Linked DNA regions of Macaca mulatta. The protein of the gene in region 1 interacts with the protein of each later gene in a pairwise test. Links are inferred from orthologs where the notes say so. Each region holds a gene or a part of one and is shown on either strand. Other genes may lie near its edges. The genes, in order: RPA1 and RPA4.

Region 1 (16,011 bases):
AAAATGTAATTGGGGGGAAAAGGCTCATTCACAATAACAACAAAAACCTTACAACGAGAATAAGTTGAACAAGAAATGTGTAAGACCTATATAAAGAAAACTATAAAACTTTACTTAACGATGTAAAAGAAGCCTTAAATAAATGGGAAGACATACCCTTGGATTAGGAAATTTGATATTGTCAAGATGTCAGGTTTCCTTAAATGAATCTATAAATCCAACACATTCTCAATCAAAAACCCACAACATTTTTTATAGAATTTGAGAAGTTGGCTGGGTGCGGTGGCTCACGCCTGTAATCCCATCCTGGCTAACATGGTGAAATCCCGTCTCTACTAAAAATATAAAAAATTAGCCAGGCATGGTGGCAGGTGCCTGTAGTCCCAGCTACTCGAGAGGCTGAGGCGTGAACCCAGGAGGCAGAGCTTGCAGTGAGCTGAGATCGCGCCACTCCAGCCTGGGCGACAGACTCCATCTCAAAAAAAAAAAAGGAACTTAATAAGCCAATTCTAAAGTTCACATGGGGGAAATGCACACAAAATACCCAAGATATTATTATTATTTTTTTTTGAGACGGAGTCTCGCTCTGTCACCCAGGCTGGAGTGCAGTGGCACTATTTTCCTTTCTTTTCTTTTTTGAGACAGAGTCTCACTCTGTCGCCCAGGCTGGAGTGCAGTGGCGTGATCTCTGCTCACTGCAAGCTCCGCCTCCCGGGTTCACACCATTCTCCCGCCTCAGCCTCCCGAGAAGCTGGGACTACAGGTGCCCGCCACCATGCCCGACTGTTTTGTATTTTTAGTAGAGACGGGGTTTCACTGTGTTAGCCAGGATGGTCTCGATCTCCTGACCTTGTGATCCACCTGCCTCAGTCTCCCAAAGTGCTGGGATTACAGGCGTGAGCCACTATGCCCGGCCAACAAAGAATATTTTTATAAACTCCCAAGTAGTTGGAATTACAGGCATATGTCACCATGTCTGGCTTGATTTTTATAAAGCCTTATCTGTCATTTTCCTTTTTTTTTTTTTTTTTGAGAAATAGCCTTGCTCTGTCACCCAGGCTGGAGTGCGGTGGCACGATCATGGCTCACTGCAGCCTTGACCTCCCAGGTTCAAGTGATCCTCCCACCTCAGCCTCCTGAGTAGCTGGGATGACAGGCATATGCCACCATGCTTGGCTAATTTTTCACTATGTTGCCCAGGCTCCTGGGCTCAAGCAGTCCTCCCACCTCTGACCCCCAAAGTGCTAGGTTTCCAGGCATGAGCCACCACACCCAACTTCATCTTCTTTTATAGCTTCTGGGTTATGTCTTGCTTAGGATGGTTTACTCCACCATCCCAAGCAAGGCAGGAGGATCGCTTGAGCCCAGGAGCTTGAGGTCCGCCTGAACAACATACTGAGACTTTGTCTCTAAAAAAATTTAAATAAAATTTAAAAATTTAAAACCTATATACACAATTTATATAGAATGTAAATGTACAAAATTTACATTGTAAATAAGGTAAAAAAGATAAACAGATTGGGAATAATTTATATAGCAAATAATAACTTACATAGCAAAGAATTACACAGCTAGATTTATGAAGATCTCCTACAAATGAACAAGAGAAAGAAAGACAACCCACTAGAAAATGGGCAAGGGACACAAAGAGGCTAGAAATAAAAATGTACTGGGGGGCCGGGTGTGCTGGCTCATGCCTGCAATCCCAGCACTTTTGGAGGCCAAGGCGGGCGGATCCTCTGAGGCCAGGAGTTGGAGGCCAGCCTACCCAACATGGCGAAACCCTATCTCTATTAAAAATACAAAATTAGCCGGGTGTGGTGGCATGAGCCTGCAATCCCAGCTACTCGGGAGGCTAAGGCAGAATTGCTTGAACTTGGGAGGCGGATGTTGCAGTGAGCCAAGATTGCCCCACTGTACTCCAGCCTGGGCAACAAGAGCAAAACTCTGTCTAAAAAAAAAAAAGAAAAGAAGAATAACAAAAGAAGTATAACCCTAATTGTACCAAGTATCTGAACTGGCAAGGCTCAAAACTGAACTCATTATTTCATTCAATTAATATCTGAGCACCTACTAAGTGCCAGGCACTGTGCCAGTTCCTGGCACAAAGATGTCAACCTTGAACTTTAAAGGTGTGTGTTTGTGGATCTGCAAATATATAAGGTTCTGGTTTATATGACATATTAAGCACTAATAAGAGCCAGTCACTAAACTAAGAACTTTATGTACTTTACCAAACTATCATTCAATTAATGTTTACTGAGCAATTGTTTTTTGACACTGCACTATTTTTGTCTATAGAAAGACAAACAGGCCGGGCACAGTGGCTCATGCCTGTAATCCCAGCACTTTGGGAGGCTGAGATGGGCGGATCATTTGAGGGCAGGAGTTCAAGACCAGCCTGGCCAACATGGTGAAACCCCATCTCTACTGAAAATACAAAAATATTAGCCGGATGTGGTGGCATATGCCTGTAGTCCCAGCTATTTGGGACGCTGAGGCATGAGAATCGCTTGAACCCAGGAGGCGGAGGTTGCAGTGAGCTGAGATCGTGTCACTGCACTCCAGCCTGGGTGACAGAGTGAGACCCTGTCTCAAAAAAAAAAAAAAAAAAAAAAAATTAGCCAGGCGTGGTAGTGTGCGTCTGTAATCCCAAATACTCGGGAAGCTGAGACAGGAGAATCGCTTGAACCTGGGAGGCAGAGGCAGTGAGCTGAGATTGCGCCACTGCACTCTAGCCTGGGCGATAGAGCGAGACCCTGTCTCGAAAAAAAAAAAAAAGAAACACAAACAAATACAAACATGGTCCCTTCCCTCATGAAGTTCACAATCTAGTGGCAAATGCAGGCATTAGTCAAAAGAGCACACACATATATAAAGGAAAATCACACAGCGTTGTAAATGTACAGAGTAAAGATGGCCCAGCTGAGGCTCAGTGAGAGCTTTCCTGAGGAAAGATCTGGCTAATCCTGCGGGATGACAGAAGTGAATTAGTTCACAGGACATGCTGGGATAGAAAGGAACCACGAAAAGCACTTCAGGCATTTTCCATCAAAAACAGATATTACGGGGCGGGGGGGGGGGGGAGGAGGGTTGGCATTAGGAGACACACCTAATGTAAATGATGAGTTAATGGGTGCAGCACACCAACATGGCACACGTATACATACGTAACAAACCTGCACATTGTGCACATGTACCCTAGAAGTTAAAGTATAATAAAAAATTAAAAAAAAAAAAAAAGAGATATTACTGGGCCAGGCATGATGGCTCACACCTGTACTCCCAGCACCGTGGGAGGCCAGATTGCTTGAGCCCAGAAATTTGAGACCAGCCCGGGCAACATAACAAGACTCCATCTCTATTTAAGAAAGAGAGAGAGACAGAGATTACTTCAGAGCAAATGACAAAACAGAACGTTTTTCAGGTCACAATTGCCTCGTTAACGCTTCCATGTACTTACTGAAGAAGTGAAGAGGAATGAAGAAAGATATCGCTCAAGGTCTCTGCTGTAGAAATGGTGAGCTGAATGGACTTCGGGAGTGAAGCCCACTTTTGAAGCAGGTATGATTTCCACTCATCCGCAGGCAGACCCATGCTGCTTTCCATCTATACAATGAGGAAGAAAATAGGAATCTCACAAACGCACGATTTTAGAAAATCAAGAGTTTGGCCCCGTGCAGTGGCTCACACCTGTAATCCCAGTACTTTGGGAGGCCGAGGTGGGTGGATCATGAGGTCAGGAGATCGAGACCATCCTGGCTAACACAGTGAACCCCGTCTCTACCAAAAATACAAAAAAATTAGCCGGGTGTGGTGGCGCACGCCTGTAGTCTCAGCTACTCTGGAGGCTGAAGCAAGAGAATCACTTGACTGGGGAGGCCAAGGTTGCAGTGAGCTGAGATCACACCATTGCACTCCAACCTAGGCAACAGAGGGAGACTCTGTGTCAAAAAAAAAAAAGGAAAATCAAGATTTCATTCAAGGAAGCCTAAAGCAATAAAATCAATTCTTGTGGTCTTTTCCTCTAGTTTACATGCTAAGGAAAGATCTATATTCTCTCACAGCAATTCACTCAACATCCTTCCATTCAGAAATATTTACTGAAAGACTACTTTGTGACAGGCACCATGCAGGTGATGGTTATACAAAGAGGAAGCAGACTAGATAGCTATCATCCGTGTCCTCTTAGTGTTTTTTTTTGTGCGTGAGACAGTCTTGCTCTGTCCCCCAGGCTGGAGCGCTGTGGCACGATCTCGGCTCACTGCACCCTCTGCCTCCCAGGTTCAAACAATTCTCCTGCCTCAGCCTCGGAGTAGCTGGGATTACGGAGTGCGCCACTACTCTTGGCTAATTCTTGTAGTTTTAGTAGAGATGGGGTTTCACCATGTTGACCAGGCTGGTCTCGAACTCCTGACCTCAGGTGATCCTCCAGCCTGGGTCTCCCAAAGCGCTGGGATTACAAGTGTGAGCCACCGCGCCCGGCCTGATCCCCCTAGTTTCTCAAGTCTGAAACCTGAGACACTTCCCCAGATTTTTCTTTCTCACCCACCCCAGCAACTATTCAATTAACAGGTATTTCTCTCTCTCATATAGTTCAGCGTTCTCTTTCAACCCCCAGGTCATTCCTTCGGTTTAAGTCCTCACCATCTCGTCTGGCATTCTTCCTAGAGTGTCATAATTAGTGTCCATGCCATTGGCACCCCCCCCAACTTTCAATCCAGCCTCCAACACTGAGACAGAAGTCAGTGCTCTGCCTTAAATTCATCAACGCTACTCCAAGCATATCAGGAAGCCCAGGACAAAACCGTCCTTACTTGACCCTTGGCTGACTTTCTAATTCTCAGGTCTCACTTGTTCCTCTGCAGCCTTGCATACTGAACTACTCATTGCGATCCCCGGCTTGCCAGGCTATTTCATCTCTCCAAGGTTTTGGCAGAGGCTATTCGTGCTTTCCGGACCAATCCTACCCTGGCTTATGGAGTCCACCTGGAAAATTCCCACAGGTTCGTTCTTCGACTCGGTTCAAACGGCACGTCCTCTGGGAAGGCTTCCCTGATTTCCAACACTCTTGGGGCCTGTACCACGTCTACCTGGCGCTGGGGCTACTCACGGCATAAAGTGCCCCCACACACTGTCCTCTTCTCCACGGACAGGGACCAGGTCTGATTCCCCTTCGGAGACCCCCCCCTCAACGGTGCCAAGCTCAGGGTTTGGCCCCGGTCGAGAAGTCAGCCCCGCGTTGCTGGAGGAACCGGGTCACTGCTGCGACTCCATTTAGCAGCTGAGGTCTCAGGGAACAGCTTTAACCTCCTCTGGGCTACCAACCCGTGCACTGGCCAGAAACCGAGGCGAGAAAGCCTCGTGAGCCCGCTCACAGGCGCCCGGAACTGGGCCGCGGACTCCCTCCCCGCGCCCGCGCAGCTCCTGGCGCGCCCCTCGGCGCCCCGCCCCGCGCCCCGTGTTCCGCGCCAGGCCTCCTTTGGGCCCGCGAGCAAGTCACGTGCGCCGCGCCTCGGCCAATGTGGCGGCTGCGCAGCGCCCGGGCCCGCCCCTGGGCCGCGCGCACGTCGGGGGCGGGAGCGGCGCACGCAACTCCTCGGGCCAATAACTGCGCAGCGCGCGGGACCCCGGTGGGGAAGCTCCAGCTGTCGCGGGGTCCGCGCGGGAGTCGGGGCGGCGGAGCCATGGTCGGCCAACTGAGCGAGGGGGCCATTGCGGTGAGGAGGTGCCGGGGGCCGGGCCGGCGGTGCGGGTGGCTGCGGCCCCGAGCCTCGCGGAGTGGAGAGGGGGAGGGGAGCCCGGGGCGACGGGGGATGAACGCGAGGGGAGGAGAAGGCGGGGGGCGGTGGGGACTCGCCGAGCCCCCGTGTAGTGTCATCACCCCCTCCTCAAAGCATTCTTCTGATCGTCTTTGAAACACGCTCACGTTTTTCCTACTTAAGAACAAAGTAAATAAACGCTTGCCTTTTTCTGGATCTTTCACCTGCGGCCACTTTCTGTTTCTTCTCCTTTCCTGCCCCGCAGCCAAACTTCTTGTCTGGTTTCAGCCACTTCCTTTCTTCGCCTCTCATCAACTCTTTAACCCACTCCAGGCATCCCCTTGATCGCTGTAGAAAACCCTGGCTCAAGGGACCAGTGTCCTCCAAGTTGCTAAATCCAGCCCTTTTCCGTTTTCAGCTTACCTGAGTTCTCAGCAGCGTTTGCTTTTGAGCCCTGCTTCTTCTGCTCACGCCCTCTTCCTTGGGTTTTAGTGGCTCAGCTTGGCGGGTCTATCCCCGTCTTATTTGCAGGCCCCTCTTTGTAAATTTTTGTTGACTCAAGGCTCCCTCTAGGCCCTCTTGACTCCCAAAGGCAATTTCTTTTTTTTTTTTTTCTTCCAGCCTGGGCGACACTCACTGTGTGAGTGTCACACTGTGTCGCCCAGGCTGGAGTGCAGTGGCGCGATCTCGGCTCACTGCAACCTCCGTCTCCCGGGTTCAAGCGATTCTCCTGCCTCAGTCTCCCGAGTAGCTGGGACTACATGTGTGCGCCACCACACTTGGCTACTTTTTTGTGTTTTTATTAGAGACAGGGTTTCATCATGTTGGCCGGGCTGATCTCGAACTCCAGACCTCCATTGTGTCGCCCGCCTCGGCCTCCCAAAATGCTGGGATTACAGGCGTGACAAATTTCTTTGTACTGAGCCACCTTTACTCTAAAAGACAAACTTCTATAATCTATCTGCTTATTCCATGCTTCAGAGGCTTTTAAGTTCAATATACATATCCCAAAGCAAATTCGTTATCTTTCTAAGTCTGGGCCTCTTGATCCCTATCTCCACGAATGGTACCATTATCTGTTCAATTCAGTGCTAACCAGAGATTGAGAAATCATTCCTCCTACATTGTCCATCACCTGGGCGTCCAGTTCCTCACCAAGCGAAGTGTATTGTACCTCCGCGTAGATCTACCAAGCCCACCGGCTTCTTTCCATCCATACTGGCACCATCTTTTTTTTTTTTTTTTTTGCCTGGGCTGTTCACTTCCACTCAGCATACGTTCCTGCCACCATTCCCATCCACAGCATACTCTCAGCCTACTCTCCAGTCACCCCCACATTTTTTTTTACATTTAGATTTCTGGTATTTTTCATACTCCTCCCTTCTTCCATGGGGCATTTGAACATTTTTTTTTTGAGACGGAGTCTCGCACTGTCGCCCAGGCGCCCAGGCTGGAGTGCAATGGCAGGATCTCGGCTCACTGCAAGCTCCACCTCCCGGGTTCACGCCATTCTCCTGCCTCAGCCTCCCAAGTAGCTGGGACTACAGGCGCCCGCCACCATGCCCAGCTAATTTTTTGTATTTTTAGTAGAGATGGAGTTTCACCGTGTTAGCCAGGATGGTCTCGATCTCCTGACCTCATGATCCTCCTGCCTCGGCCTCCCAAAGTGCTGGGATTACAGGCATGAGCCACCTCGCCTGGCCGAACATATGTGCCCTTGAGTATTACATTTTGTCGCTTTGTATACTTACTAGGGCTTTTCTTTTTTTTTTTTTTTTTAGACAGGATCTCACTCTGTTGCCCAGGCTAGAGTGCAGAGGCGCGATCTCGGCTCGTGGCAACCTCCACCTCCCGGGTTCTAGCGATTCTTTTGCCTCAGCCTCCCAATTACAGACGTGTGCCACCACGCCCAGCTAATTTTTGTATTTTTAGTAGAGACGAGGTTTTGTCATATTGGTCAGGCTGGTCTTGAACTCCTGTCTTCAAGTGATCTGCCCACCTCGGCCTCCCCAAGTCCTGGGATTACAGACTTGAGCCATTGCACCGGGCCGTAGTCTTTTTTTTTTAAATGACAGTCTCGTTTTTTGTCTCTCAGGCTAGAGTGTAGTGGTACGATCATAGCTCACTGCAACCTCTAACTCCTGGGCTCAAGTGATCCTCCCACCCCAACCTCTCGAGTAGCTGGGACTACAGGTGCATGCCACCGTGCCCAGCTAATTTTTTTTTTTTTAATTTTGTGTAGAGATGGGGTTTCACCATCTTGCCTAAGCTAGTCTCGAACTCTTGGCCTCCAAACAGTTCTCCTGCCTTGCCTCCCAAGTCTTTGGGATTATAGGCATGAGCCACTGTGCCTGGCCTTGTCCCTTAAAACGAGTTATCCATTTGTAAACAGCTGGTTTCTTGGGAGCATTGTCCCCATATACTTTTCTTTCATAAAGCATTGGTGATTTCACCCTTCTTCCACCCAAGCTTCACCTTGAATTTGGTGTTCATTGTTGCTTCCATTTTAGCAGAATTCGTGTTGCTCCCATGGGACTCTTTTCAAATTGATGTCTAATCCTTCTTAGTGCCTCACACTAGATCTTGTTCAGACACGTTATAACAAGTTAGTATGAGTTTATTTCAGTGCAAAATATTTTTGAAATGCATGGATAGTTTTTTCATAATGCACATTTTTCATGTACTTTTTCAATTCCTCTCATATACGCGTGTGGTTTTAAAATCAAACGGAACAGAAAAGTGTTTATGGCCGGGCATGGTGGCTCACATGTGTTAATGTCACTTGGGGAGGCTAAGGCAGGAGGATCCCTTGAGGCCAAGAAGGAGTTTGATACCAGGCTGGGCAGCATAGCAAGATCCTGTCTCTATTTCATTTATAAAGAAGAAAGAAAGAGGTGTTTAATGTAATTACTGACCTTCTGCCCTACCTTGTCCACTTCTATTCCACAGAAATAACTGCTTTTTAGAAAAATCACTGTCATTGACATTTCACTTACATATAGTAAATTGTACCTTTTTTTTTTTTTAAGCAGAGTCTCCTGTTGCCCAGGCTGGAGTGTAGTGGTGCACTGTCAGCTCACTGCAACCTCTGCCTCCCAGGTTCAAGCAATTCTCATGCCTCAGCCTCCTTAATAGCTGGGGTTACAGGTGCACGCCACCTCACCCGGCTAATTTTTGTACTTTTAGTAGAGACAGGGTTTTGCCATGTTGGCCAGGCTGGTCTCAACCTTCTGACCTCACATGATCTGCCCGCCTTGGCCTCCTGAAGTGCTGGGATTTACAGGCATGAGCCACCACGCCCAGCCAAATCGCACCTATTGTAAGTGTACAGCTTGATGAACTTTGACAAATGTACGCACCGCTGTAGCTGCATTGCCCCAGTGGAGATACAGAATAATCCCATCAGTGCACCCCACCTCCCACTCCTTCCTCACCTCCGTCCTCACCCGAGGCAGTCAGTGTTCTGGTTTCTCTCTGTAGGTCAGTTTTGACTTTCCTAAGACTTCATATAAATGGAATCAAATAATATCTACCTTTTTGTGTCTGGCTTCTTTCAGCAATTTTTTTGTTTTTTTTCCAGAGGTAGGGTCTCTGTCACCCAGGCTGGAGTACAGTGACACAGTCATGACTCACTCCAGCCTTGACCTCCTGAACTTAAGAGATCCTCGCACCTCAGCCTCCTGAGTAGCTGGGACTACAGATGCATGCCACCGCTCTTGGCTAATTAAAAAAAAAAAAAATTTTTTTTTTTTTTTTTTTTTTGAGACACAGTCTTGCTCTGTTGCCAGTCTGGAGTGCAGTGGCGTGACCTCAGCTCACTGCAACCTCTGCCTCTTGGGTTCAAGCGATTCCCCTGCCTCAGCCTCCCAAGTAGCTATGCCTGATGAATTTTTGTATTTTTAGTAGAGACGGGGTTTCACCATACTGGTCAGGATGGTCTCAATCTTTTGATCTCGTGATCCACCCACCTCGGCCTCCCAAAGTGCTGGGATTACAGACGTGAGCCGCCACACCCGGCCTAAAAATATTTTTTGTAGAGATGGAGTCTTGATGTGTTGTCCAGGATGATCTTGAACTCCTGGGCTCAAGTGATCCTCCCACCTTGGCCTCCCGAAGTGTTGGGATTACAGGCATAAGCCACCACTCTGGACCAAAATGGTTTTTGAGCTTTATCCATGTTAATTCAGTAATTTGCACTTTTGTATTGCTCAGTAGTATTCCATTGTGTGACTATAACAAAATTTGTTTATTATTGCACGTTTGGGTTATTTTCATCTTTTGACTTAAATGAAGATGCTATGACCATTTAAGTACAAATCTTTTTGTGGAAATATGTTTTCATTTCTCTGGGATAAATATCTAGGTGCATCATTGCTGGGTCATAGGTAACTGAATGTTTAAAAGAAATTGCCAAACTTTTCCAGTGTGATTATGAGAATTCTAGTTGCTCCATGTCCTTGCCAGTCGTCAGTCTTTGATCTTGAGTAGTCTAGTGAAAGTATAAAGGTATCTCACTGTGGTTTTAATTTGTATTTCTCTGGTGACTAATGAGCATCTTTTCATGGGCTTACTGGCCATTTGTATATCTTCACAAAAGAAATGTCTGTTCACGTCTTTTGTTCACCTAAAAATTGGGTTTTGTGCTTATTAAAGAGTTGTAAGAATTCTTTATTCTTGATGGGTCTTTTGTTAAATATAAATATTACATATATTTTCTCCCAATCTGTGACTTGCTCTTTCTTTTTTGAAATTTTCTTTTTTTGAAGTGCATTTTTAAATTTTGGTGAAGTCCAGGTTATCAGGTTGTGGGTTTTTTGTCTGTTTTTGTTTTGTTTTTTGCAGTCTTGTATTTGTGTGTCCTAAGAAATCTTTGCTAGGCTGGGCGCAGTGGCTCATGCCTGTAATCCCAGCACTTTGAGAGGCCATGGCGGGCGGATCACCTGAGGTCGCGAGTTCGAGACCAGCCTGGCCAACATGGAGAAATCTTGTCTCTACTAAAAATACAAAATTAGCAGGGCGTGGTGATAGGTGCCTGTAATCCCAGCTACTCGGGAGGCTGAGTCAGGAGAATGGCTTGAACCCAGGAGGCGGAGGTTGCGGTGAGCCAGGATCGCGCCATTGCACTTCAGCCTGGGCAACAAGAGTGAAACTCAGTCTCAAAAAAATAAAAAAAAGAAATCTTTGACTACCCCACCCAAGGTCACAAATCTTTTATACTGTGTTTTCTTCCAGAAGTTTTATAGTTTTAGCCTTGCCTTGTGGTCCATGATGCATTTCAAGTTTACTATTTTATCTATGATATATAGATCTTTTTTTTAATATAGATATTCAGTTGTTCCAGCCCTGTTTATTGAAAAGACTATCCTGTTACATTGAGTGACTTAGTCACTTTAGATAAAATCAATGGACTGTATATGTGTATATCTCTATCTCTGGAATGTCTGTTCTGCAATTGATTTCTATGTTGGTGCTTACGTCAATACCACATTGTCATAAAAATTGCAGATTTATAGTAAATCTTGAAATTTGGCATTGTAAATTCTGCAGCTTCATTTCTTTCTTTTTTTTTGAGGCGGAGTCCCACTCTGTCACCCAGGCTGCAGTGGTGCAGTGCTCACTGCAACCTCTACCTCTCGGGTTCAAGCAGTTCTCCTACCTCAGCCTCCTGAATAGCTGGGATTACAGGCCCCCGCCACCACACCCAGCTAATTTTGGTATTTTTAGTAGAGATGGGGTTTCACTATGCTGGCCAGGCTAGTCTCGAACTCCCAACCTCATGTGATCCGCCTGCCTCGGCCTCCGAAAATGCTGGGAGTATAGGCCTGAGCCACCGTGCCTGGCCTCCAGCTTCATTTCTTATTTTTATTTTTATTTTTATTTTTTGAGGCAGGATCTCACTCAGTCACCCAGGCTGGAGTGCGGTGACATACATGATCATAGTTTACTGCAGCTTTATCTCCCTGGCTCAAGTGATCCTCCCACCTCACCCTCCAAGTAGCTGGGACCACTACGCCCAGCTAATTGTTTTTTTTTTTTTTTTTTTTTTTTTTGAGACAGGGCTTTACTCTGTCATTCAGGCTAGAGTACAGTGGTGCCATCTCACCTTGACTGCAGGCGTGTGCCACCACACCCAGCTACTTTTTGTATTTTTTGTAGAGACGGGGTTTTGCCATGTTGGCCAGGCTGGTCTCGAACTCCTGACCTCAAGCAATCCTCCTGTCTCAGCCTCCCAAAGTACTGATCCCTTTGCATCCGCTGAAGTATAGAGAAACAAAGTACAATAAGAAAAGAAAAAGAAAATGAAAACAGATGTTTGTTTTGAGACATGGTCTTGCTTTGTCATCCAGGCTGTAGTGCAGTGGTGCAATCACAGTTCACTACAGCCTAGACCTCCTGGGCTGATTGTTCCTCAGCTTTCTGAGTAGCTGGGACTACAGGTAGGCACTACATACCTGGCTAATATATATATATTTTTCTTTTGAGATGGATTCTCTGTCACCCAGACTGGAGTGCCATAGCGCAATCTTGGCTCACTGCAACCTCCGCCTCCTAGGTTCAAGCGATTCTCCTGCCTCAGCCTCCTAAGTAGTTGGTACTATAGGCGTGTACCACCACACCTGGCTAGTTTTTTGTATTTTTAGTAGAGACAGGGTTTCACCATGTTAGCCAGGATGGTCTCAATCTCCTGACCTCGTGATCCGCCCGCCTTGGCCTCCCACAGTGCTGGGATTACAAGTGTGAGCCACCGCGCCCGGCCCCACCTGGCTAACTTTTTATAGAGACGGGGCTCCTTATCTTGCCCAGACTGGTCTCAAACTCCTGGGCTCAAGTGATCCTCCTCCTTCCGTCTCCGAAAGTGCTGAGATTATAAGCATGAGCCTTGTTGGTAGTTTTCAGTGTGCAGTTCTTACATATGTACTGTTAAATATATCCCTAAATAATTTACTTTTGAGACCCGGTGTGGTGGCTCACACCTGTAATCCCAGCACTTTGGGAGGCTGAGGTGGGCAGATCACCAGAGGTCAGGAGTTCGAGACCAGCCTGACCAACATGGTGAAACCCCATCTCTACAAAAATACAAAAATTAGCCAAATGTGGTGGTGCACGCCTGTAACCCCAGCTACTCAGGAGGCTGCAGCGGGAGAACTGCTTGAACCCGGGCGTTAGAGGTTGCCGTGAGCTGAGATTGCGCCACTGCACTCTAGCACGACACAGCGAGACTGTCTCAAAAAAAAAAATTTTTTTTTATGGTGTCTAAGTGGCATTTTTGAAAATTTCATTCTTCAGTTGTTTATTGCTAGTGTATTGAAATACACATGATTTTTCCACAACCCACCTTGTGTCCTGCAAACTTGCTAAATCAACTTACTAGTTTTTATAGATACCGTAGGATTTTCTGTGTAAAGGATCATGTTGTCTACAAATAAAGGAAGTTTTATTTGTTCCTTTTTAATATTTTTATTTTTTATTTGGAGAGGGAGCCTCACTCTGTGGCCCAGGCTGCAGTGCAGTGGCGCGATCTCAGCTCCCTCCAACCTCCGCCTCCTGGGTTCAAGCGAGTCTCCTGTCTCAGCCTCCCCAGCAGCTGGGATTACAGGCATGCACTATCACGCCCGGCTAAGTTTTTAATTTTTGGAAGGATCAGGGTTTCACCATGTTGGCCAGGCTGGTCTCGAACTCCTGACCTCAAGTGATCTGCCCGCCTTGGCCTCCCAAAGTGCTGGGATTACAAGCGTGAGCCACTGCACCCGGCCGGTTCCTTTTTAATCTTTATGCCCATTTTTCCCTTGCCTTATTGCATGAGTTAGAACCTCTAATACCACGTTGAATAAAGATGTTAAGAGGTATATCCTTGCCTTATTCCCGATCTTAGTAGCCTGTGATTGTCTTTTACTGTTAAGTGTGATGGTAACCATAGATTTTTTTTGTAGATGTCAGCTATCAGTTTAAGCATGACTTCTATGCCTAGTTTGCTAAGACTTTATAATGAATAAGTGTTGCCTTTTCTGTATCTGTTCAGTTGATAATGATTTTTCTCTTCTGTGAATGTGACAAATTACATTGATTTTTCAGTTGTTGAATAAACCTTGCCTTCCTTGACTAAATCACACTTGGTCATGACATATTACCCATTTTATATAGTGCTGGATTTGATTTGCTATTTGTTGAAGATTTTTTTTTTTTTTTTTTTTTAGACAGAGTCTCGCTATGTTGCCTAGGCTGGTCTTGAAGTCTTGGGCTCAAAACAGTCCTCCCACCTCGGCCTCCCAAAGTGCTAGGATTATAGGCATGAACCACTGCATGGGGTGGTCTTTTTTTTTTTTTTCCTGTCGTAGTAAACGTAACATCATAAAATGACTTGGAAAGAAAGTCTTCTTTTCTATTTTCTGAAATAATTTATGCAAGTTTTTGTTTGTTTGTTTTTTCTTAAATGTTAGAATTCACCAGTAAAGCCATCTGGACCTAGAGTGTTCTCTTTTGGAATATTTAGAATTATAAATTCAATTTCTTTAATAGATATAGAGTTACATAGATTTTCTTTTGTATCAGTTTTGATAATTTGTATTTTTCGAGAGGTTTATCCACTTTATCTTGGTTGTTTTATAAAGTTGTTCCTAACGTTCCCTTATTATCTCTTTAATATATATAGAATTTATTTATCTAATCCCCTGTTAACGAGTACTAGAGGGAAATGAATGTGCTGTTGTGAATAATGAATACATACGTGATGTCGGTGTTAGAGATGTACTGTGTTTCCTTGTTGTAAAACACGTATCTCCCTCTTACCATTTTATGATTTGTCCAGAGTGATCAACTAGATGTTTCAGCTGACAGGCTCTGAATGGGCTCTTTTAACAATCTTATCTGTATATTCCAAATACGAACTATAAAAACATGTCATTTTCTTCGTGCTTTGAGTGCATATCTCACACAAACCTGTTTTTACTCCCTCAGGCCATCATGCAGCAGGGGGATACATCCATAAAGCCCATCCTCCAAGTCATTGTAAGTACCTGTGTGTGTTCCTTGTCAACTTCATTAGAGTCAGCTGATTATAAATTACGTCCGATGAAGGACGGACAGATTTGTCCACTTTCGGAAATTCCCCGCCTTGTCACAAAAAATAGGCCAGTCTCCATTGTACCCCTGAAAGGAGCCAGGCTTTTTGAAAATATTACTACGTGAGCTGCTAAGTTCTACTGTCTTTGGAGGTTCAGATCGAAGGCTTTGCCTCACTCCCTCCTCGCCGTTGATAGATGACTGTGGTGCACCTTGCCTTTCTGCCCTTGGGTTTGTCTCGTTCACATCAGCCTTTTTTTTTTTTTTTTTTTTTTTTTGAGACGGAGTCTCGCTCTGTCGCCCAGGCTGGAGTGCGGTGGCTGGATCTCGGCTCACTACAAGCTCTGCCTCCCGGGTTCACGCCATTCTCCTGCCTCAGCCTCCCGAGTAGCTGGGACTACAGGCGCTGCCACCACGCCCGGCTAGTTTTTTTTTTTGTATTATTTTTAGTAGAGACGGGGTTTCACTGCGTTAGCCAGGATGGTTTCGATCTCCTGACCTCGTGATCCGCTCGTCTCGGCCTCCCAAAGTGCTGGGATTACAGGCTTGAGCCACCGCACCCGGCCTCACATCAGCCTTTTATATGACTTCAGAAATACATCTAATATGAACTTGCCTCCTTAACATTCTTCAGTTAACACATCATTTGTTTAAGGGGTTCTCGAACTTCAGTGGGAGTTTTGAACACTAGAGGCAGAATGTGGGCTCACGCGTGCGGGGTTTCAGTCAGCCGGTCTGATGGGTCTCTGTTGCAGGGCACTAGCTGTGGGTCAGCGTGGGCCTCTGTGGGCAGATTTCACTTCCTTTGGAAACCTGCCTCTGCTCTCTCTCAGGTGGGGATGAAGGTCTCAGCTCTGCCACCTGATCATGGGCACATGTCACTTAGGTCTCTGCCTCCATCTCCACCCCAGTCGTTAGCCCCTTCAGGACAAGGGTACTTGTTGTTCATTTTGTATTTTTAGCACATTTCCTACAAAACACCTTGTGTATATTGGGTGCCTCATTATTTATTTATTTATTTATTTATTTTGGTAATTGATTTTCAGCCAAATTTGAGTCAGAACTCAAGAGTACAGGCAGCTCGTTTTACTTCCCTCTGTATTGTGCTTCATAATGTTAGTGGAGAGGTGAGTGGGAAAATCATCAAATCCAATTTTCTTTTACTTGGATTTAGGTGTCAAGAGAATGG
Region 2 (15,723 bases), on another chromosome or scaffold:
TAAATCTAAAAGGAAGATAGCATCCAATAAAAACAAATATTCCAGAGGTAATGCAAATAACTGCACATGTATCAACTCGAAAATATATTTTATGTTTTCACTGGCTTGGAAATATTGGCCGAGGAAGCTACCATCATAGGATGTGAACACAAACACTACGCCATGAGTTTGGCAGATAAGTGGATCCCAACCAAACAGAAAAACAATTTCCTAGTGGGGTAAAATATCCCTAAAGCTGTGAGGCAATTTCAGTAACAACTCTAAAAAGAATTCTAGGCAATCACAATTCTGTGATACTATTCTTCAAAGTAGTATTTGCTGTTTTTGTCATGTGCTGAGAAACCTTAGTGACAATGATCTATTGCTACATATTTCTTTGGATCTTCATAAAATGTATTGCCAAATATCTATACATCTTGCAATGAATTGGCTTGGAATAAAATTGTCCAAACTCATTGGCCATTTCTCAGCAGGCACTGCTTCCTTTCATAAACTTTAGTAAAGAGGTATGAACAAAAATATCTAAATAACGGAGTCCTCATTCTAAATCACACATAGACCATGGTATGTGCAAAGTCTAATGCAATTTGTGATGGCAGATTGGGATTTACTTTACAGTCAAAGCACATGGATTTTTAGAGTGTTAAATAGAGTTGTAAACATTCAATTTCATTAATACACCGTGCAATTGTAACAAGGCTATTGCGTAAAGCATGCCATGCTGTCTGTGGATTGTGAATATGATTCAAACCAAGGTTTCATTCTTATGTGGAAGAAGTTAGCTTCATTCTTTTTCTGATTACAGCTAAAAATGCATGGCCACAAAATAGTGCCAGATTAATGCAAATTCATTCTCACTGCTGGAAAAGCAGAGGTTGTTATTGATGGTGGGTCAATAACCACATCAAATCACACATTAGTATATATAAATTACACAGCACCAGCCACCATGAGACAAATAAGAGGGTAAGAGGGTTCCTTCCCCAGAGGAGACTAAAATGTGAACGAGAAAAACAGATATGCATACACGAAACTATTACAGAATATAAACAGGTACTGGTAAATATATACAGTAAAAAATAAATGTTGAGGGAAATGTAGAGTAACAGAGTGATTTGAGATAGGACCAGTTAATGATGGCTTATAAAAGGGAATTTTAAGTATTTGCTTTAGCAGAAAATAATATACCAAAATGACTTTCTTAGAGCCTTTATCACCTGAGTGATTAAATACCATGTGAATTTGAAATTCATGACTCCACTTAATATTCCAAAATGACTGCTTTGAGGATGTTTGGTAAAACTGTTAGTATGTATATGTATGTGTGTATGTGTGTGTGTGTGCACTTATTTATACATATTTTTAGAATTTTACGAGGGGCTGAACAAAAATAAACCAATTAAAACTGTGGTAGGGAGGAGAATTACCCACGAGAGGACAACGTCGTGGGTTCTAATGAACACCAGGTTTCAAAAACAGTTATGCAACAGAGTTTTAGGAACGCTTTCATCCGTATTTAAAGGAAATTATAAATATCTGTCTGGGGGTGGTTAAATACATTTATAAATACAAAAAAATAATGGAACATTAGGAAATCCTCTAGCCTTATAGAAGAACATACTTCTCACTCTTCAAAACAATACCTAAACACTAATCTAGTTCCAATAGCAAAGGTAAGAGGATTAAAACTAAGCAAAAGAGAATATAGAACGTAGAGGCTTAGAGTTGCAAGGCTCCAATCCCATTTACATATGAAGAAACTGAGGACCATTGACTGGACCAAGGTCACCACAGAGGAGTGATCAAGAACTAGAATGATTTATCATATTGTCACAGGATCCTGGGGTGTCACTTTGCCAACTAGAAACCTCTGCAGTCAGTGGCACCTTCTGCCTGAGTAACGTACAACATGTTCTCCCTGCTTCCATCCAGGGCTATCCTTTAAAAATGTAGGTCATCTCATGCCATTCCATTCCTCAAAGTTCTCTAACAGTGTCCCAGCTCACTCAAAGTAAAAGCTGAAGTCTTCTGAATGGTCAATTAGGCTCTACATTATCTGCTTCCAGCATGCTAGCCTCCTTGACATTCCTAGAACATGCCAAGCATGCTCCCATCTTTGGTATTTGCTGTTGCTGTTTTCTGTTTCTAACAACATTCCTCCTCCGGTGAACATAGCTCACTGCCACACTTCCTTTAGACCTCTGTGCAAATGTCATCAGAGTGAGGGAGGCTTTCACTGATCATCTAATATAAAATAGCAACATCTCTTCCTCAGTTCATATCACAACCTGACATTTGATATACACCTTTAAAAAAACTGTCTGAATTCCTGTACTAGAATGTAAGCTACATATGTATAAGCCCCATATGGACAAGGGGAATTTAGTTTTGTTATTCCTTTGTAGGATTATCCATGTGATACATAAAAACAAACCACATAAAATATTAAGTGCTATTTATTAAACTCCTCCAATTTAAGGTATTACCAAAGGAAATTAACTTTTTTTTTTTGAGACGGAGTCTTGTACTGTTGCCCAGGCTGGAGTACAGTGGCACAATCTCGGCTCACTGCCAGCTCTGCCTCTTGGGTTCATGCCATTCTCCTGCCTCAGCCTCCCGAGTAGCTGGGACTACAGGCACGAGCCACCACACCCAGTTAATTTTTTGTACTTTTAGTAGAGATGGGGTTTCACCGTGTTAGCCAGGATGGTCTCGATCTCCTGACCTCGTGATCCGCCTGCCTCAGCCTCCCAAAGTGCTGGGATTACAGGCGTGAGTCACCACGCCCGGGAGGAAATTAACTCTTAATGTTAAAAAATTGTTTTTGTAATTTATCACATGATGGCAAATTGGAATAAATATCACAGAGATAGTGTTAGAATTACTAGAAGTATGATCCACAATAGATAGGGCAAAGAAGTCCCAATTTACACACAGCTATGTGATCAGAAAAAAAAATAAGCTTCTCAATACACTGATATATATTCTTAAGATATTATATTGCAAAAACTACAAGCATAGATTTAGAGAAAATGTAGCATTTCAGATGATCTTTTAAATCAATGAAAATATAGTCCCAAATGGTATTACAGTATCATAAAAAAATCACCCAAGTTATTCAACTAAGTTCTCTACGACAGCAAAAAATAACGTTTTGTCTCTTAAGCTGATAGGTGAGTACAAAGGTGTTTTTATATTATCTTCTATACATTTGCTGAAAGTTTTCAGTTTTTTTCATTTAAATGAGACAAATTTTAAGGAAAGAAAGTCAAAATATTTAGTATGTGACGACAGTGAAAGAATACTAACAACAATGAAAGAATACTATTTTAATAGACTTTCCTTATTGTGACGCTGTACAAACTAGTTGTTAAGGGCCTAGGCTCTATAGATACAAAGCCTGGGCTTAAATCTTAACACTGACACTTGCTGGTCACGCAACTTTAATATGGAGCAAATTACTTAACCTCTCTGAGCCTAAAGTTTGCCTACAAAATAGGAACAATACTAATAATGTTATCCTGATTGTATATGTATATTTAAAGGTCTTACAACATAGTAAATGCCATATATATACATATACATATACACACACACATATATATACACACACATATATATAAAAAACACATATCACACACACATAATTTTTCATTATTTTTTAATGTATTAAAAATGCCTATACATCATCCAATAAGACATTTGGAAATGGAGTCTCAATTTCAAGAGAGAGGTCTGGCCGGGTGGGTGGCTCACACCTGTAATCCCAGCACTCTGGGAGGCCGAGGCAGGCGGATCATGAGGTCAGGAGTTTGAGACCAGCCCGGCCAATATGGCAAACCCCGCCCTACTAAAAATACAAAAATTAGCCAGGTATGGTGGCAGGCGCCTGTAGTCCCAGCTACTCTGGAGGCTGAGGCAGGAGAATCGTTTGGACCTGGGAGGCAGAGTTTGCAGTGAGCTGAGATTGTGCCATTGCACTCCAGCCTGGGCAACAAGAGCAAAACTCCATCTCAAAAAAAAAAAAAAAAAAAAAAAGAGGTCTGTGCTGAAAATGTAAATCTAGGCATCACCGGAATCATACATACACATACACACACATACACACACACACATACACACAACTCCCACTCTTAGAACAGTACTTGGGAGATAATAAATATTAAATAAATGTTAAAATGTTAACTATTACTATCTTTAATAAGCATTTCAGAAATCAATTAAATTTAAACTCATCAAAATTAAAGTTAACACTTAAATGCATATAGTAGGAACTCACTAAAGGTTTCATGAACAAATATAATTCTTGCTAGTTACCTTTTTTAAATTGCTGTTATCAAAAGTAAACAGAAATTGAAAAAATATAAGAATCTATGCTTTTCAGCCTCTACTCCAAATGTTACTAAATTTAGTAGGTAAAAGTAACAAAATGATCACTAATAATTATGACCATAGTAAGATTATTATATTGGCCTTGAAAACACTTTCAAATATATTTATTCATAGTTAATTCAGAATCAACCTCAATATAAATACATATATTTCATAAGCCTGTGAGCCATAGGAAAAAACCTCGGGTGGATTATAATCATCAATTACGTTTTTCAGGTTCCTCAGGCTTCAATGTCCCTGCCCAAAATAGTCAATAGTATGTCCCCAGGATTTGTATCTTATCCTCAAAAGGTGTGGCTAACAATCAGGGCAGGACCTTGGAGAAAGGGGATATTAGCCAAGTCATTCCCAATCTGAACAAAATTGAGAAAGTATGCATGCCAGGTGCGTGTTGAAAATGAACTTTAAAAATCTGCACCCTTTAACATGGACTAAATATGCTTGTATAAAACAATCCAGTGATTGTTTTCTGCCTAAAAATGTTTTTATTTCCACTGACATTATATCTAGACCTACTTACTATTTTTCCACTGCTATCTCTTACCTGCAGCAGAATCCACTAAAGCACATGATTCCACTCAGAAGAATAAGGGTTGGGAGTAGTAATTTTAAAAGCCTAAAACAACCCCAAGGAACACAGATAGAGGACATTGCCCCTCAGAGGATGGGGGAGAGGCTGGTCTTCTGCCTTAAATTCAGGTGTACAAATCTCAATGTATCAGTTTGCAGGGACAAAAGCAGTTTGGCCTCCTAAACAAAACAAAAAAAAAGAGTTTTTTTCCCCCTCCTTCTGGAGGCATGCTCCTAGAGTAGGAAAAAAAAGTGGCTACCCATCCACTGGCCAGCTGAGTCAGCTCAAGCAATTATGGGAGCGACCTATAATTATACTCATAAATATCAGATTTTGATGTCATGGTTTCTGAATTTGGGTAAGTGATATCACAAAAGAATACTGTATCTGCTAGACTATTTCTTTCAGTTCCACAATTCTAAGTATTATATATGCCCCTTGTTGCCTCTCCCCCAATATGATTTTCCCTAGGACAGGTAACCTTTTTCAACAAAAAGTGGTTCCGAATATTTTAGGTTTATGAAGACCAGAATTTTCACAATGTCTGATAATTTAAGTAACAGGTTTATAGTATGTTATTCATTTGTGTTTTTCAAGAGTGTCATTTATGATTACTTTCAAGGGGAAGAAAAACATGCATCACAAAGCTTAAGCAAGAATTGGTGGTAAGTTTTTCTAATGGCCACTGACAGAGGCCATTTTCTGAAAGTTTTCCTGAAAGTACGGATTACTGGCAATGCTCCATTTAAGAGTTATTTTTTTTTTCAGTTTTCATGATTCAATTAGACAAATAATGTTCTTCTCTTCTATGTGAATATATATTATATATGAATATACATATATTATATAAAATACAATACATATTCATTCAAAAGTATATATTTTTTCTTTCCTCTAATGTAAAATATTTAACACCTTGAAAGATACCATCTTTAGTGCATAGGTAAGTGAGGGCTTTCGTTAATGGTCAATTATTTAAAAGTCTCACATAATTTATATAATCTACACTAAAATGTATTGTTAGAACTAGGCTATAGCATATGTTCTTGGTATTATATATAGAAAAGAAAAAAATCTGGATAATTAAAACTATTAATCCTTAAGGATATAAAACAAAAATGCTTTTTCAAATGTACTTAGAAAAAAAATCACACAGGAAAGTTAAGATTTTATAAAACTATTTTAATAAAACATTTGAATAAATTTGTGTTAAACTCAGGAAGTTTCATATTCCCATGACTTGCTTCCCTAACCTCCTAAAAATTACCTTGTTATACATAAAACAGAGCATTTAGTAAAATAAATAATACACCAGCACATCAAACTTACAGAAACTCTGGCATCCATTTACCATGCAAGTGCAATAAATTGTAATTTCATCCAAATACCACGTCATGTATGAAATAATCATTAAACTTCACCACATTAAAAAAAAAAATTCAAAGATAACCTGGCAAAAATGATTTATTTAAACATAGTATAATCTTATTTTAAGAAAACATAAATTCATAGTAATGAGAGCAAATCACACATAAATGTTTGAACTGAGCATTAGAATTCACAAATTAATATCTTCAGCTCATTTGAATTAATGAAGTACTAAATACTATATTGAACAAGAGATAATATCATTATACGCTAAATCCAAACATGGAAAATAACTCTAACATAAAAACAAGCAAGACTTTTTGTTGTTGTTGTTGTTTGGTTTTTTTTGGGAAAAGAAGCTCCAACACAATTAAATAATACATTTCTACATTTTCTGTAGTTTTTCTTCCCCTCAAGTCATCATGTTTCCATTAGCTTGCTAGTAAATCCTACAGAGTTGTCAATTTATCCATCACCATCTCTCTCTGAGCTTCAAATATAGAAAATCTGAAGAGTTCAAAGCAGTTAGAAAAGCAGCGAGTTGACAAAGAATGCCACTTGAGATTTTTTTTTTTTTAGTCCTACTTCCTAAAAAGTCATCAGGTCAAAATTACTCTCAGATGGATGCAGGGATCTTTGGAAAAGGAAAGGATGTTTTCCCTGCCTCAATCAGCAGACTTAAAATGCTCCTGATCCACAGTGGGATAGATGTGGCCCTCGACCGTCAGATATTCAATCGCTTCCTTGATGGCCTTGAGGCTAAGGTCGCAGAGCTGAGCCTGGAGCTCATAGATGCTCTTCCCTTCCTGTTGAGGACACTCATGAATCAAACGCAGCACTTCGTCCCGGATGAAACTGCGGTGACTCTCATCGTTATCCCCAGCATCATCCACTTCCGATGGAAACACAGGCACACTTTCTACAGTGGTATCACGACGGGCTTTATCCAGCATCATGTGTGCATTGACCGTTTCCAGAATATGCACAGTGAACTCGTTCATGTCCTCTAGGACATGAATTTTCAATACCTCAAGGGTCTTTGTTCCCGTGGGACATTTGAGGATACCAAACACTTTGACATATGCTCCGACTGACAGTGGAGTCACTTGCTTGACTTTTTCTCTACCAAACCACTGTCGGGCCTCGATTGGTTTCGCAGTCATATCATCAATTTTGTAACAAATGTGATTTGAAGCCTTCTCTGCCCCTCTGATTACCCCCACGATGGAGACCTGGGAAACTATAATTCCCCTAACCTTGAACACAGTGTCAAACACAGTAGAGCTGAGAAGCTGGTTCACATTACACGGTACAACGTCCTGAATTCGGACCTTAGGTCTTTGGGTCTTAATAGCAGGAGCTGCATCTCTCTCACACAGTTGGTCACTGCCTCCACTCCCTCCATCAGCAGCAGAAATGCTGCCATAGCTCCCAAACCCACTGTTACTCATCTTCAAGACAGTTCAGGCCGAGGAGAAGGTGGGCTTTGGCTCGTCTGGGGCTCCACGGACAGCTTTGAGTTCTCCACAGAAGGCTTTGAGCTCTCCACAGAAGGCTTCAAGCTGTCTGAAAGGCTACGATTGAATGCTGGGAGCCTGAGGACGTGACAAGCTTCACGCCACCTGTGGACCAATCAGCTACCAGAATGCGTCTGCTTCCAGCCAGTCAGGGTCGGCCACCTTCTCACCTGACGGCATAATCCTTCCCTGTGTGTCAGTGGTTGCTACATTCTAAAAGCCCCACACGAGGGGAGCCCTGTTGCTTAGCTGGTCAAAGCGCCTGTCTAGTAAAAGTCCCACGTGTAATTTCAAGCAAGCCTTTCCCAACATCTCTATAAAAATGCATTTTTACTAGTCCCCCTCTTCATTTCTTAATGCTACAACTTCTACAATTACTTTTAAAAGACTCATTTATTCATTCATTCAAACAACAATGCAACAGAAATTTTAGGAGCATGAAGTGCTTGGCAAAACGGTAGAGTGCTGTACGTTATGTGCAGGGGGAAAAATGCACCACCGTGGTTACTGTTCTCAAGAATTCACGTCCCCCGTTCATTCAAACCGTTAAAACCAGGAGCATTGGGCCGGGTGCAGTGGCTCACGCCTGTAATCCCAGAACTTTGGGAGGCCGAGGCAGATGGAGTACTTGAGGTCAGGAGTTCAAGACCAGGCTGTCAACGTGGTGAAACCCCGTCTCTACTAAAAATACAAAAATTAGGCAGGCGAGGTGGTGCACACTTGTAATCTCACCTACTGGAGAAGCTGAGGCAGGAGAATCACTTGAACCCAGGAGGCAGAGGTTGCAGTGAACCGAAACAGCGCCACTGCACTCCAGCCTGGGTGACAAGAGCAAAACTCCATCTCAAAAAAAAAAAAAAAAAAACCTAGGAGTATTTTTTAAGAAATAGCAAGACAATCGTCTTTCAATGATTATCATACTCTAAGATAAGTCACATCTTAACACTGGCTTTTTAAAATTTTTTGTTGTTTTAAAATTGTAATTTTCCAGGTATTTTTTGCCAAGTGCACTATAAATGAGTAATTAATATATTTCAATTTATACATAAATCCAAACTGAATGACTGAGCTCTAAATTATTTTCAAGGCTCTGTGGAAAGGACAGAAAAGTACAAGATTTACGCCTATTACATATTAGGAAAAACATGGATAAAATCACAGTAAGTTTTTTATATACTCTTACGGAGTAAATTCTGAACTTCTAGCAGTTATACAAATAGATCCCAGATTTTTTTTTTTTTTTTTTTTTTTTTGAGACGGGGTCTGGCTCTGTCTCCCAGGTTGGAGTGCAGTGGCGGGATCTGGGCTCACTGCAACCTCCACCTCCCGGGCTCAGGTGATCCTTCCACCTCAGCCTCCTGAATACCTGGGACCACAGGCACACACCACCACATCTAGCTGACTTTTTTGTATTTTTAGTAGAGACGGGGTTTCACCATGTTGGCCAGGCTGGTCTCAAACTCCTGGACTCAAGCAATACACTTGCCTCAGCCTCCTGAAGTGCAGGGATTACAGGTGTAAGCCACCATGCCCGGCCAAGAATGTTTTGATATTTTATTGAAATTTTGTTTTTCTTTATAAAATATTTTATTTTGGGTGTTATTGATTTAAAGGCTTAATAAAGGAACCACAGTTACTGGAATCCACCATTGGCAAGTAACCTCCTAACAATCCTTTGTAGTTAGTTAATAGCTTAAATTAGTTGAGTTTTGAGGAGTTTATTAATGCTCTCATTTCTTTTACTGGTTAAAATAATTCACTTTTTGCTATCTCAAAATTACAGAAATATGTGGAGTATATCTAAAACTTATAGAAGAACATGAAGTTATATATACCTTTCAAGTTTTAAAAGAATAAAATTGACCAGGCACGGTGGCTCACGCCTGTAATCCCAGCACTTTGGGAGACCGAGGCAAGTGGATCACGAGATCAGGAGTTCGAGACCAGCCTGGCCACTATGGTGAAACCCCTTCCCTACTAAACATACAAAAATCAGCCGGGCATGGTGGTGCGCGCCTGTAGTCCCAGCTACTCAGGAGACTGAGGTAGAAGAATTGCTTGAACCTGGGAGGCGAAGGTTGCAGTGAGCCGAGATCGTGCCACTGCACTCCAGCCTGAGCGACAGAGCGAGACTCCGTCTCGCACACACACACACACACACACAAAGAAGAATAAAATCATGGAGCAAATATGCTTAATTTGCTTAATAAATAAATATATAATAATTATCTGAGCCCACAAATAGATTTCCATGTAAATGTGGACATTTAACTTCTGGCTCTATGTTAATATTTGTATTCCTAAAATTGTACATTACTGGAGATCCAACTAAATATATTTTTAAAAGTTTACAACTTCACAATCAGATGCTGCTGCTTTATTAACATCAGACTTTTAGTCAGAAAATCCTGAGGTTTAAATAACAAAACTTATTATATTCCCAAACAATTACATACACTACAAATTGTATGAATCATACCAAAATGATAATAACGACTTACCTGACTGGATTGCTGGTTAAAGAAACCCTGAGGGATTCTAGGCAATTAAGAAGTTTCTCATCTGATATACCCGATCGTAATTCATGAACATATTCTTGTGAAGACAGGGTGCATTCATGTTTGCTGTTTTTCAGCCCACCCTAAAAAATAAACAAAGATACCATTTTAGACAATGTTTTTTAAAAAATTTTTAAGTAAAATAATGCACAGAATATTTATTTTGTTATATAAAAATGTGTGCAGAGTGCTACACGCTTAAAAATTCTTGATCACAGAACTGATGTGTTAAAATTGTGTTGTATATATCTCAACATTTTCCTCGACCTCATTTAAAAAAAAAATTACAGTGCTGGTGCTCATGACCTGAATAGAATATGAACTTGAATTACACAAAGTGTCATTGACAGGGGTGCTTAAATTTACAATTCAGGCATTAGAATTAATATTAGCTAGTCCTCCTTAATCCAGAGGATAAGCATTCAAAAATCCTCTTATTAATTTTCCTAGTTAAGATATGTATATTCGATTCCACAAAATCCAGCAAATAAAATTTAATATATACCATTATACATAACCCACATCTACTGAAAGATATCAGAGTTATCAGCCTTTCTAAAAAAATAAGTGAAAACAGTTATTAAAATGTAAAACAATATAGTCTCCAATTAGCATGTTAATTAATCAAATCAGTTGAAAGCATTCACCAGTTCCCAATTATTCCTTTCTGTTACTCTCAGGTTGTAGATTAATCATAAAAAGTCATTAAATACATTTATCTGATAGTAACTGGTTTTTAAGTTAATTTTCAATATAGACGGAGTTATTTCTAGAACTCATCTCATCACTGCTCCTTAACTTCATCATCTTGCTATAACTATATAAGTAGTTCAGGGAAAAGGCTGGGAGGAAAACATTGTCAACACATTCACTATACTAATACCTCATAGTTTCACATTCTAGACCTACCTAATCATAATTGCCCCTTTCCTATACTGTAAATGTATATCCCTGAATTAAGACTCCAAGCTTGAGTTCCATTTTACAGGTTCATACAAATTACACTCAGTTTCTGCTAAACATCTAAGGATACTTACCATAAAATAACATCATTAGGATATGATATATCATCATAAGAAATATAATATTATACGGAGATTATAAGGAAAGGAATTTTTGCCTGTTGGGTAGAGGTATTATCATTAGAGGATACGACATTTAAAATAAAAAAAACAGTGTTAATAATGAGAAATGAGTTCCCTATGGTTTCACACTATTTGGGTTTTGATTGAGAATACCTCCTCAATGTAGAAAGTGTTAATCATTCTTAATTTCTGAATTTTAAAAATCCCATTAAATGCTAAATTTTTTAAGTCTGATAAAGGCTTATAACATATAGGGGAACTCTATTCCCTTAGAGCTGTGGCACTATTATCATTATTATAGCACTTAAAATATTGTGGTAGAGGTCATTATTTGTGTCTGTCTCACTTCTACATTGGGAACTCCATCTATGCCACATAACTAACACAGGTCATGAATTTAGTGAGCCTCAATAAAAGTGTGTTATTATTGAACTTCTCCATAATAACTGCAGAACAAGGAATAAAATTTCACACTTTTAGCTCCTATATTTTGTATAATGGACACTGACTTGGTATTTCTTGCTTCGTTATGAGATACAGCAGATGTTAAAAATATATTGGATGGGCCAGGGACGGTGGCTCACACCTGGAATCCCAGCACTTTGGGAGGCTGAGGCGGGTGGAACACTTGAGGTCAGGGGTTCGAAATCAGCCTGGCCAACGTGGTGAAACTCCGTCTCTATTAAAAATACAAAAATTAGCCAGGCGTGGAGGCACATGCCTGTAATCCCAGCAACTTGGGAGGCTAAGACACGAGAATAGCTTGAACCCAGGAGGCGGACGTTGCAGTGAGCTGAGACCCCGCCACAGCACTCCAGCCTGAGCCACAAAGCAAGACTCCATCTCCTCCACAAATAAAAAAGTATACTGGATGAATCATCATCACCTAAATGGCACAGTAAGTAAAACCATCACTGAGAGATCATGTCCATATTCCTGTAACTTCCTTACGCATCTATTATTCCACAAGGAATAACAGCAAGTAAATATTTAAAGCATAATTTTGCAAATTCAAAATTATAGTTTTATTTTTGCTCGGCCAACTCACTTTCTAGAGCAATACAAAGTTCATCAGTAACAAGGGATCTATTTACTACATATGCCAGTCTGAAAACTACTAGTAAAAGGAATTAAAGTTTTCAAGTCTGTAGTCACACACCACTTTCATATAATCCTCAAAGTTATTTTTAAATTAATATATAAAAAGGCACCACTAATCCTCCCCTAGGGGATTGTATATGGAATTTAACCCTGTTGAGTGACCTTTGTATTTTGCAGTTTTCTCTGCCTTGAAAACCCTTACCCCAACCTCTCTATTGCTGGCTCCCATCGTTTTAATCTCAGCCCCATAGTCTTCTCCCCACCTCACATTCTAATTATCATCGCAACACCATTTTAAATATCATTTACGATCTTACCTCTATGAAAATTTATTTTTGTAATTCAGTTGTTTACTGTCTTCCGCACTAAAACACAAGCTCTTATAAGACAGGATTCTTGCCTGCCTTGTTCACCACTGTATCCTCAGATCTTAAGACAGTGTTTAAGTAAGCACTCAATACATATTTCCTGGATGGATGGATGGATGGATGGATGGATGGATGGATGGATGGAGAATAAACAAAAGGGTGGATGAGTGATGAGTTTCAACTTGTTGAAGATTCTAAGCTTAGTTTTGCTTCAGAATATTATAGTTCTGAGACATTCAGTTATAATATATTCAAAGATGCTGAATATAGAACAGGTAAACTGAGACACTATTGCATGCTGAGGACAGCTCAGAGGTATTTCATATTGGGCATCTCATGGACACAGAACAATCTACTCAGAAAATGTTGGTTCCCTTTTTCTAATTGATTCCCTACAGGATTAGTCTAATTGGAACATATGGTCATGGCCGAGGTACTCCTTATAGACAAGTGAGCCAGCTCATCACTTTGTGGCTCACTCCCACCCAAGTCTTAGAAACAAGCTTAAATTATATAATTTAGGATCCTCTCTGGTTATAAAGAATGGAAGCAAACAATCTACTGGAGCATGACAGAGAATATACAACTTTATAGAACAGACGCCTTTTACCAAGCTTAGAAAGACTTTGAGATTTTAACATAAGTTCATATTTGAAAGTTATAAAAATATGATAGCAAGCTAAGGCTGGACTGGCCCTTAAAAATCAGTTCTTCTGATACCCTCATTACAAAAATGAGGAATCCAAGTAATTGCCTAAGTTCACATAATTATTAAGAGTATGAGACTAAAACAAATATTCTGGTCCTTGGATAGCTCCTTTCTCTACTATATACTACTTTTTCTCAATTTTGAATAAAATGTTAAAGCAACAAATATTTAATTCTGAAATCTCTATTACAGAATGTCAAGGTGTCAAAGTACCTTCAGCATAATCAATATGGTGCAAGATAATATTTTAAAAATCACCTAAAAACAAAATAGTGCAATACATTAGTTCTCATAATACTTAATAGGGCTGTAATACAAGAATGGCTTATTAACATCCTGTTCTGATACTGAACAAAGGAAACAACTAGATAATGGATGGGTAATAATGGAAATTTTAATTAGCTGCTCTGTATGAGATTAATGAAAATTACCACTGTGCCCATTTGATCTTTAAAAAATAATGCAGACAAAGTTAGCAATTAGCGTACATCATGCTATTCCAAACCTAGGTGAACAAAGAGCTTTCCTAATTTGAAGCCATTCCTTAATTTGAAAATCATTAGGATGGAGATACTAGTCAATGTGACTGTGCTTGTATTATTTTAAGACAGTAAACAAATAATCAAAAGGTAGTTTGAGTCAGTTTAATAGTCACAGATTCCCCTTGCTCTGATATGAAATGGTAAAATCAACAGCAGAGAAGCAATATTCTAAGAAAGAACACTTTTAGTTTGCAGTGGAGAGAACCACTTCTGAGTTTAGATGGACTTAGTCTGAGTATGGTCTGTCATTTTTAAATGTAAAAACAGATTTACTTACAATTTGAGAAAAGGCTTTATGGTTCTTAGCTGTAAAGGTATCTTGCTGCAGACACTAGACAGAACTATTGATTGTACACAAGTCTTTTCAGCTACAGCATGCACACAGATAGCAATTACTATCAGGGATGTCATTTTCAAATAGGATGGACAATATTTTCATGAAAACAGTAATTTTGTTAGTGTTATTGACCACGATTTATAAATCCTAATGAAGTCCATTTCTTTGGCTATTTTAATCAAATGAGTTTCTTATCTATCATTGTGTTCTCTGAAAATATAATGCTATAGATTAACATATTTGGGATTATATCTACAGAGGTTCACACTGTTGTTCTTGGAGGCTCCAACAGCTTTCAAACATAAGAAATCAAAATGCCATTTTCATCATCATCAGTTCCTTGAGTTCAAGGAGGAAAGGGAGACACAAAATACGTGCCATATCCAAGTGAATCTATTTATTTATTCTGATAGCTGTATATTTGGTGGAATAGAGAATGCTATATATTGCAGAACCTTTAGATGGCTTCTCTCCATTTTTGTAAGAAAGCCATCTCTTACTGGCAGAGTAATAGAGTTATGTAATTTATGTATCAAAAATATAAAAATATATTAAAATCAATTTATATAATAAAACTTAAAATAATTTAAAATGCAGTTTGCACTGAAAAATATTTTTTAATGGCACAAAAAAATGTAGGGTAAAAGATACTACATATTACCAATTGAAGTCTACAAGAAAAAAAACTACACAGAAAATTACTGTCATGAGATTAACTTCATATTGTGTCATTTCCCATTGCAGGAAACACTGTTTCTAACTAAGGCATTTTCAGAGGATGAAAATAATAGGCAAAATGAGAGAATATATCCCAAATTATAGGGCAGAGGTGATAAAAGCTTTTCTACAGCAATGTATAAGCATCATAATTCTTCAGATTATATGTGCCATTTTTCCCAAAAGAATTTGAATAAGTTTATTAAAATATGATCAGCTAAAATGTTTCATGAAAGAAAAGTATAAGGTTTTCTATGATGAAATCATTTATTGTTCCCTTACTGAAGCTTTTGTATATTAAATATCAATTAAGCATTTCACCCCCAAATTACAGACTCTTAGACCGTCACAGAACAAATATTTAGATCATTTTCTGAGCACTTGTATTACAGATTGTGTATCTCTGATTCAAATGGTTGGGACCAGAAGTGTTTCAGAATTCTGGTTTTCTCCAATTT

Evidence for each region.
Region 2: the proteins of RPA1 (region 1) and RPA4 interact in binary tests that used the Homo sapiens proteins (3 or more experiments, as listed by UniProt). The link is inferred for Macaca mulatta from reciprocal best matches to the Homo sapiens genes RPA1 and RPA4.

The regions. Positions count from the first base shown.
Region 1 is NC_133421.1:3,373,186-3,389,196, forward strand, and holds the start of RPA1 (replication protein A 70 kDa DNA-binding subunit), read left to right. Parts: upstream 1-5,598; 5' UTR 5,599-5,687; coding exon 5,688-5,720; exon of another isoform or gene 5,721-5,728; intron 5,729-14,717; coding exon 14,718-14,768; intron 14,769-16,011. Other genes in the region: protein-lysine N-methyltransferase SMYD4, read right to left, coding at 3,464-3,609, 3,694-3,735. UniProt on the Homo sapiens protein: As part of the heterotrimeric replication protein A complex (RPA/RP-A), binds and stabilizes single-stranded DNA intermediates that form during DNA replication or upon DNA stress.
Region 2 is NC_133426.1:103,832,538-103,848,260, reverse strand, and holds RPA4 (replication protein A 30 kDa subunit), read right to left. Parts: upstream 8,708-15,723; 5' UTR 7,783-8,707; coding exon 6,997-7,782; 3' UTR 6,672-6,996; downstream 1-6,671. Other genes in the region: DIAPH2 (protein diaphanous homolog 2), read right to left, coding at 10,350-10,489.